2 linked regions of the Caenorhabditis elegans genome follow. The protein of the gene in region 2 interacts with the protein of the main gene of each other region in a pairwise test. Each region holds a gene or a part of one and is shown on either strand. Other genes may lie near its edges.

Region 1 (4,080 bases), on a different chromosome or scaffold from region 2:
TGCACCAGGAGTGTTTCGTAAAATTTACTGGGCTACAGAAATTGTTGTATTTTTCTAATAGACTCAAAACTATACCAAAACTGAATTTCATAATGAGACCTCTTGAAAATGTCTTTCAAAAAATTTCAGTTGTGGTTTAAAGTTTCGAAAACTGAGAAAAAAGACCCACACTAATGCTAAAATAAGAAAATCAAAAAAAAAAAACCGAACTTCACAAAAAACTACGAAAGTTACGCAGGTATGATACCTGCAGATGTGCCTGCCTACCACATAATCGATAGTTTTAACTGCTTATTTTTTTTAGGATTATGTGAAGCCGAAGGATCATGTCGACATTGTGCAGACAGTAGATATTCATACTATCGATGCCGTATGCAGGATGACTGTTTTATTGGCGAAATCTGTGATAATGGATTTTGCTGTCCCAACGTTTTGCCAACATTTTCTCTTCAACGAGAACGTGAGTTTCTATCTTGTTTTATTTTTTGCCTACAATTAACTATCAATACTTTTACTAACATAATCTAACACACTGCACTATTTCTCAGCAACTAGTCCTAAACCAAAAAGACCATTAAATATCACATCGGATCCCCCAGCTGATGAGCCATGTCCAGATGAATCTAGATGGTCAAAAAGGTGCTCAAGAGATGAGGATTGTACTCATCAAGAAGAACTTTGCATCGAGGGAAAATGTTGTAAAAGTGCGTTTATTTTTTAAATTTGAAACCAAAGTGTTTATCTTCTTTGAAATTAGCGTAATAAAAAAAGAAATAAAATAAAGTTGGAGGTCATAGAATTGAGGAAACAAATGTGATCGAGTCATTAAACTGTTTAGAGGAAATCGAAGTATGACGAAAAATATTTGACTCGACGTAAAAAGTTTCACTTGTTTGATTCAAGATCATTCGATAGTACGGGGTTTTATAAGCGCCCAGGTTGAAAATATCGAAATGCATTTTTGATATAACTTCAGAATCTGAGATATCAATCAGTGAATATAATGACATTCCTTTGATATTTGAATCTGGGTAAAATGGGTTATTAAGCAACTGATGAGCTTTTTCATCAGCAAATGTTATATGAAGATCGATGGATGTAATGATAACAAATGAATTAGAAGGAATGGTTACTGTAGAAAGAACTGGAGTAGGCATTGGATAACATGCAATCATTCTAGTATTTGTATTTGGACCCATTGTAATTTCTAGACGAAGAACCTTGTATCCAGGTGAAGCACGAACTGCATCCTTGTTTGCTCGCTTTGTGAGACTAGATTTAACACGTACGTTGCACATTTGAGGCCAATTAAGGTCACAATAGTTAAGGGCCTGTAAAGAGAAATTACTACATTTAGTCAAAAAATTCTCTGAGATTGTGCGAAAATGACTCCAAAATGATTCCAGTTAGGAGTTGCTTTTAAAAAACAGAAAAAAAATTAAAAATATATATTAAAAATAATATATATTTTTAAAAAATGTTTTAAAAATTATTGCAACTTAATTAGGCTACAGCTGTAAGCTTAAACTTCTTTCCATACTTGATTTCAGGATGTTTTTGTGAAAGTTCAAAACTTGTAACTATAATAAAATATTTTTCCTGAATTTAATTATGTTAAATCAAAAACTTAAAAGTTACCGAGTTAAAGCAATTGATATCCTGTTCATGAATATAATCAACCATCGCGTTGCCAGTCATTTCAACTTGTGACAAGCCCAAGTAAATACTAATAGTTTCACTTATGTAAAGTACATCTCCGCGCCTGTCCAGTATCACAAAGAATCCATCTAGTAGCTGAAATTGAAATTAAAAAAAAAACGGTAAAAAACCATCCTTACATCTAAATGATTGTTAGTCCATAAAGAGTCACTTCCATAATAATAGTCAGCTGAACTGTAGGCTCTTTGAGATTGCCCAAATATATTGTGAAGTTTGATATAAGCAGTTGCTAATCTAACCATCGTTGTTTTATCAATATGCTGTCCAGAAATTGCTCTTGCCAATGGAAGTTCATTGGCTAGCTGTGAGAATTCATAATTTTCCATTTGTCTTCTCTGCTGGGCTTGTGATTTTGACGGTTTTTCTAAAATATTGATTTGTTTCTTTCAAAACATATTTTCTAAAATTGCTTACGTTTTTCTTCAGAAAGATTAGTCTCCATTTCTCAAGTGGTTATAAGTCAAGCGACAAATAAAATACATATAAAAAATAAATGAATGACCCAATATGTACAAGCTCTCATAATATATAATTAGCATGCAGATCATGCCATTCGAGAGCCAAACTAATTACACAATATGACATACAATTGAATTCTCCCCTCTTTGTCTATTTCAAATTTTTGTAGCATGTGCAATGAGGAGACGAGAGCTTCTCGATGAGCTTAGATCGTTGGAAATTGTTGGACAAGCGATACCACTATGTGAGGAAAGTGGATTGGCATGGAGAAGAAGGTAAAAGGGAATTCAGATATTGAATAGGAACATAGTGAGAACAGTATTAGTTACAAAGTTTCAAATTTAGCTGAAGATACCCAATATTCTCAAAAATATTTGTAGCATCACAGACATCTCACTATCAGACTACAATAAACCCAATTTCAGACAATGCTTGGCTGGAACAGAAGTTTGTTGGTGCGTGACAAGGTATGGAAGAAGATTATCCGGAAAAGAAAGCAAAGACGAAAAGGGATGTGAAACTGTGAGAAGAAAACAAGAAAATCTTGCATTGAAAGCTGCTGCATTATTAAGAGAACAAAAAGAAAGGGAAGAGGTATCAATCAGTTCTCTAATTTCAAAAATTCAAGACATATTTACAGACATGCAAGAGTACATCACCTGGAGAATGCCCCCTCCCGTTGAACACTTCTATAACCACACTAACCCGTTGCTTCTGTGATTCTGAATGTGAACGGGGATCTAAATGTTGCCCCGGTTCCATAACTAACTCTAACTATCACGCTTGCTTACCAGCATTAACAAAAATAATGAACGAACCTATTTCTAATGAAAGTCTGTTGTCTGCCTAAACTAGCTTCTTATAACATTTTACATTTTTTCAGTAAACCCAACGATTGCCATGGTATGTGGCGCGAATGAGCAATATTCAGCATGTTTCTCCTCTTGTCAACCATCATGTCAAGATCCTTCAACACCAGCTTGCCCGGCTCCCGGATGCCAACCTGGATGCATTTGCCTACCAGGTAACTTTCGATAGTTAACTATATATTAACTCTTCATCATTGCTAGGATACATCCGACGTGACAGCTCTCCCCGTTCAGCATGTGTTCCGCGAGGCTTGTGTCAAGCTTATGATCTGACGATTCGTTGTGCAGACGAGAAAAGGCAATATCAGACATGTGGAAGTGCATGCCCAATTAGTTGTGCTACAAGAAATCAACCGAGATGTAATGAGAGATGTGTGACTGGATGCTTCTGTAAAATTCCGTTTATCCTTGAAAATGCAGACGATCCTCTTCATTCAAGGTAGGTTAAGCTTAAACTCGGAAGTGGCTGCTGATTTAAAAAAAATTCTCCATTTTTATATTACTTTTACAAGAAAAATATTCACATTGGGAAAACTTTAACAAGATTTTGAACCGAATGGACAAAACTCGATTAAACCGTAACAGAAACTTTAAAATTGGTCTATTTTCAGATGCATTCTTCCATCTTCGTGCCCCGAAATCCCAACACCAGCGCCAGAAATAGTTGAGCAATTTGTGCAGCGTAATCCTGGAATGATTGGAAGTTTTGGAAATACGAATATTCAATATCCAACCTCCCCAAGAGCTACACCATCTCCCGTATTCACTACTACCACTCGTGGATTAACAACTTCACAACAAAAACTTCCCACTCTTATTCCCGAGCAACACTGTGAACATCCATTGAAAAACTATCAAAGCTGTGGAAGCAAGTGCCCTGCATCTTGTGATCGACCTCTTTCACAAGCAGCGTCAATTGACTGTGCTCTTTCTTGTGAACCTGGATGTTTCTGTCGACTTCCGTATGTTCTTGCCGATTCGAAGGATCCAAACTCCACATGCATTCTCCCTCAATTATGTTCTAGAAAATCAA
Region 2 (5,032 bases):
ATTACAATACATTCTGGTATTCTTATGTGTACGGATATTGTTGATACAATGTGGGATCAGTTTTTACAAGAATCAGGTTAGTAGAACTTGAATTATATTCTTTTATAGGATATATTTTTAGGACATGCAACAATCAGAGAGATTTTGGAAGATAAAAGTTACGGTGACGACTATGATAGATCTGCTTCTGCTGGTGGTTTATCTATTGAACCAAGTAAGTTTTCAAGAACGTAGTGAATTACCTGACCAAGCGTACTAAGAATCATGCATTTTCTTCCACCGAACAATTTGGAATTACGCATTCTCGGTCTTTTTTTGTGATGGCTAGACCTAGATGTTCAGACTGATTATCATAAAGGTGCTCATCTAGTTAATGCAAATTTGTTCTGCCGTTTAAAAAAGTATGATCCGGTTAAAAAAGAGTCTCGCAAAATTTGAGTCAGTTTCAAAGAGAAACTATTTCCGAGAGGTGTTAGTATCATTCATAGCTTATGAAAAATAAATACATTTTAGACTTGTTCTCATTTGCCTGAATACTATGCACCCTTTTCAGGTCTGCGACGGAAAACATCAGTTTTGGTTCCTCTCATGAGTCGAGAAGATTTACATTTGGATCAATCTCCAACTACACCAGCTCCTCAATTCCTTCGACCTCCAAGCAGCCGAATGGCTTCAGCTGCGAATGTATAATAATTTCAATATTTTGTTGTTTTCCTGATACCGAATTAATTGTTGTTACAATTTCAAATATTTGCATGACATGAAATAATAATTATTAAAATAATAATAAAACCAACATAGAAAAAGGAAACAATGAGGTGGTTTGAGCAGGTAAGTAATGTGTCCGTTGGGACCCGATTTCTAGAAGTCAAAGTTTGGAAGTATTTAGATGGTTTGAGCAGGAAGGGAGGCAAGATGAGATTATGGTCTCTTGAATATAAAATATTGGAAAATTGGAAACTATTCTTCCAATTCAACTTCTGCTTTAACGGACGAGTTCACCGGTGATGCCAGACTCGTTTGTAATATCTGAAAACAAAAATTGTGAGATTGAAATTGTCTCTGGAACTTATTAGGGTCTTCCACAAAACCACCATAAGCTTAACAGTCACAAAGCACAAAAGAAATCCGCATATTTATTGACCTATTCTCCTTAGATAGACTAAACAAAATTTGTTGTGCATATTCCACATTTGGAAGAGTTTGAAATAAAATTCCCCGGGCTCAGGATTTAGGTTTTGAAAGTTGCCAATAACTAAGATATTCCTTTCATTGTTCTGCTTTTCAAAATAAAAATTACCTGTGGATCTGAAGGTTTCATATCATTTAGAATAAGTTCTTCCATTAACGAATCGACATTCACGAGACCGAACAAACGAGCAAGTTGGACATCTTCTACCTTTAAATTCATAAATTACTAATTTGAATAACAATTGTAACTAACCAATTGTTGAGCAATAGCCTGAAGTGATGGAAGTAATAACAAAAGCTTTCCACTTCTGCAATCCATTGATTCGTCTTCCATATTTTCAAGTGCCTTGTCAGTACACCTGAAATATATTACATTTGTTATAGAAGCTAGTATTGTCAAATAAACCTTCTCTGCAATGACCTCAAAAAAGCATATCGGGCGTTCTCCACCGGACTCTGATCGTTGATTTCTCTGACGACTGGATTGAAAAACAGAATAGCTTTCAGTGCAACATATTCAATTAAATCCATATTTAACCTCCTCATTGGATTCACAATTTCATCAATAATTCGTCCGACGACACAACTGAAATGACTGTACAAAACCTGAGAATACAGATATGAAATGAGAATATACTCACTTGATATCTCCCACTTGTGTTGCATGTTCTTTTGGAAGAAGTGTGTCATTTGCAAGGCAAATTGTATTTTCAACTGTCAGACAAATCGATCGATATGCTACTCCAAGTACAATTATTGACGCGGCACCGCCTTTGAGAAGAGCTGCCTGGAATTATGAAATTGTTGCTAGAAGTCGTCATTTTTTAAAAAAGAAAGTATGAAACAAGTAATTGCAGTATTTTCAGTATTAAACTCGCTACTATGACAGCTAAATAATATCTCTGTTGTTTTTGATTTTATCAAAAAAAAAATCATCTAACAAATATTTTTCTGAAATTTTTCATAGAAAAAAAATCATACCTGATCTGCTTGAGCCAAAAACGAGAATTGAGGTAATGACTTCGCCCATTCGATAAAAAGAACCAATTGTTGATGAATCGATTTTCCAATATCATCCAATGTGGCAGCTCTCGCATCTTCATAATTCCATTTAACTTTTCCACAGTCGTATGGTGCCTGTAAAACACGTGGATTCAATGTGATTATTGACTGAGATCAAGAGGTGAAACTAGAAAACAGATTTTTCTGGGGGCGGAAAAAGAACCACCAGGTACAAATTCCGGCATAATTAAACCGTGTTTCTTAAGTAAAGAAAATCAAGAACTTTCCAAATTGAAAGAAATCCCTCTTGACGAAATTTGAAGCACTGCGTTTAATCCCAATCAAACTTACAAGTGAAGATGTATTCTTGATTACACTGGACCTTAATTGCTGACATAATGTTTCTGCGGCAACAAGTTGATCTATCAAATCTTCTTTTTCAGCTCCCGTAGTCTTTTTCCGTTTTCCAATTGCATCCCGTTCATTTTGAATTGCTGAAATAGTACAGGCTATTTTTATAAAAAAGTATTGGAATGATCTCACCATTACTCTTCATTCCCGCTTTTACACATTTTTGAAGTCTACATGCTCGACATGCGTTCCGTTTATCTGAAATAAGAGGAAATATTACATATTTATTACATTGGAGGACCGACTTGCTTTTGGAAATTTCAGAAACCAACGGCCCAAAAACTTTAAAAACTATAAACATACTTTTGGTAACATCACAATTTTGTTCAAATCTGCATTGATAATGATATCGTTTGCGAATACTTCGTCGAAAGAATCCTTTACATCCATCACAACTGATTGCCCCGTAGTGTTTACCAGTTGATTTGTCGTTGCAAATATGACATATTTCTTCGACCATACTTTTTGTCTAAATATTTATGTAATTGTGCTCTATTAGATAATATGAATCAATAATAAAAAGTAGGAAGAAGCGGAATAGAATATTTGATGAGCAAGTTTAAATTCAAATTAGATGTCCAAAAACTAGATCTTACATAGATCTAAGCCTAGATAGGCCTACCTACGTGCCTACAAGGCAGCTTTGAAGACCACCTACTCATGAAAAGACATAATTTAATTTACAGAAATGCAGGAATAGGAAACCTAAAGCAAACCAGTGTGGCATGTTCTCTCGATATTTTTTATTTAAATTTGGTGACAGAATATATCGCATTTTTTGTTTTATTGGAAAATAACCTTTATTCGTCCGAAAAACTGTTCGAAAGTTGCAATTTGCCTAATTTTTTACCTCCATTTTCAAATTTCAGATACTATGAGAACTCCCTGGCTCATGTAGAATTACTGGTGGGCATATTCCGCGCGCCATTGGCCTGTAGGCACGTATGTCGGTATATATGTATATGCCAGGGTGGAAAACATAGAGATTTTTCAAATCTGAACATTTAATAAAGTATCTCAATTTCTAGTTGAAACTTTTCTAGAACAAAATTCTAGTTTAGTCTATCCTTCTTTGTACCCGACTTCATAAAAACTGATCTTCCTGATTTCAAATTGTCAATGATCCTTAAAACGTGTGTGAAGAACAAAAAAAGAGAGTATGAAGAAGCAGGAAAATGATTGGAAAAAGAAGAAAAAGAATACATTGTATTGGAGAGCGTATGATGGGTGTTTGATAAGAATGGCGGGAAGAAGGGGGCAAAGAAGTGACAAACATGTGAAAGAAACGACGAAAAGACAATTATAAAATGAGAGAGTGGGTAGAGAAAATGAGAAATTTATAGAAGGACTGATAAGGGTCTTGCAGAGATCGGGAATACAATATTGAAAGACGACTGTAATTTCTGGAATTTCAGTTTAAGAAAACGCAGCTCATTCGAAGTTCGAACGGGAGGGGTTGAGAATGATTTGGTTCATTTACAGGTTTTACAAATCCCGGGCTTCCGAACTCATGTCTAGAAATGGAAGAGCTGGTCGCGATGGATTTACGCAGTCTCTCGAGGAGAATAGGATTTTTCAATTTTCAGCTGAATTTTTCGAGCATTTTTGCTAAATTTTTTGAATTTAACATTAAAACTCGCCTGGTTGACTTATTTAGATAGATTCGGTTAAAATCAACGTAGTTAATGTCAAAAACTATCAAAAAAATGAATCTTTATAGTTTTTGTTTTTTGATGTTTGTTTTTTGATTTTGACAAACTGATTTTTACTTGAAATAATATGAATATGAAGAGTTATGGAAAACAACAGATATCTCAAAAATGTGATTTATTGTAATTTTAATAGCTTCTCACATTTTCCGTTCTTTCCGATGGTCACCTTGTACCGTACTTTACAAGCGAATGTATTGGACACTACTGCTACAGTAACCCTTTTTTGACTCCCATTCTGAAAAACCCGGCTTATGAACTGTCGGGTATTATTGCGCCGAAAATACGGTAGCCGGTCTCGGCACGACAAACTTTTGTTAAATTCTTATTTTTATAAATTTCCCATGAGATTGTGTTTTTCACTCGTGTATTTTCTCAGTTTCTCTGTTAATTTTTATCATTTTTTTTGTCGTGTCAAGACCCGGCACCGTATCTTTCGCTCAAAAATCGCAAACATTGTTTGAAAATCGCACGAAACACCGCGCTTCCCGTCAGAATGCAGAAAATAGGCGGCAGGTATGCAAGGCACGATCGCCTGTCCTGACGACATGCCTGCCTACCACTGAAGCCAAAAATGAAAACGGTTGACAATTTGATCTTCGAAAAATCGATTAAAATTCCTTTTCAGACGTAAAGTGAGAGTGACAACGAAAACAAACATGCGACACACAAATTTCAAAATACATTAAAAATCACCTGATTTATTATTTTTAAGGGAA

Evidence for each region.
Region 1: the proteins of nhr-69 (region 2) and hlh-34 interact in a two-hybrid assay, tested with the Caenorhabditis elegans proteins (one large-scale study listed by BioGRID).

What each region holds. Positions count from the first base shown.
Region 1 is NC_003283.11:13,705,195-13,709,274, forward strand, and holds hlh-34 (Helix-loop-helix 34), read right to left. Parts: upstream 2,202-4,080; 5' UTR 2,162-2,201; coding exon 2,134-2,161; intron 2,084-2,133; coding exon 1,839-2,083; intron 1,795-1,838; coding exon 1,639-1,794; intron 1,332-1,638; coding exon 792-1,331; 3' UTR 773-791; downstream 1-772. Other genes in the region: T01D3.3 (Thyroglobulin type-1 domain-containing protein), read left to right, coding at 305-460, 549-704, 2,348-2,453, 2,604-2,772, 2,819-3,011, 3,062-3,202, 3,249-3,486, 3,659-4,080. UniProt on the Caenorhabditis elegans protein: Transcription factor. Involved in specifying AVH neuron identity, acting in concert with unc-42. Involved in serotonin-mediated feeding behavior, probably acting by modulating expression of genes involved in glutamate signaling.
Region 2 is NC_003279.8:9,878,430-9,883,461, forward strand, and holds nhr-69 (Nuclear hormone receptor family member nhr-69), read right to left. Parts: upstream 3,076-5,032; 5' UTR 3,065-3,075; coding exon 2,908-3,064; intron 2,803-2,907; coding exon 2,737-2,802; intron 2,688-2,736; coding exon 2,545-2,687; intron 2,329-2,544; coding exon 2,173-2,328; intron 1,979-2,172; coding exon 1,833-1,978; intron 1,778-1,832; coding exon 1,598-1,777; intron 1,551-1,597; coding exon 1,445-1,550; intron 1,400-1,444; coding exon 1,301-1,399; intron 1,030-1,300; coding exon 961-1,029; 3' UTR 754-960; downstream 1-753. Other genes in the region: inx-20 (Innexin), read left to right, coding at 1-76, 122-214, 554-690. UniProt on the Caenorhabditis elegans protein: Orphan nuclear receptor which, in cooperation with R-SMAD daf-8, modulates the Insulin/IGF-1-like signaling (IIS) pathway, perhaps by regulating expression of the potassium channel exp-2, which in turn modulates the secretion of insulin-like peptide daf-28.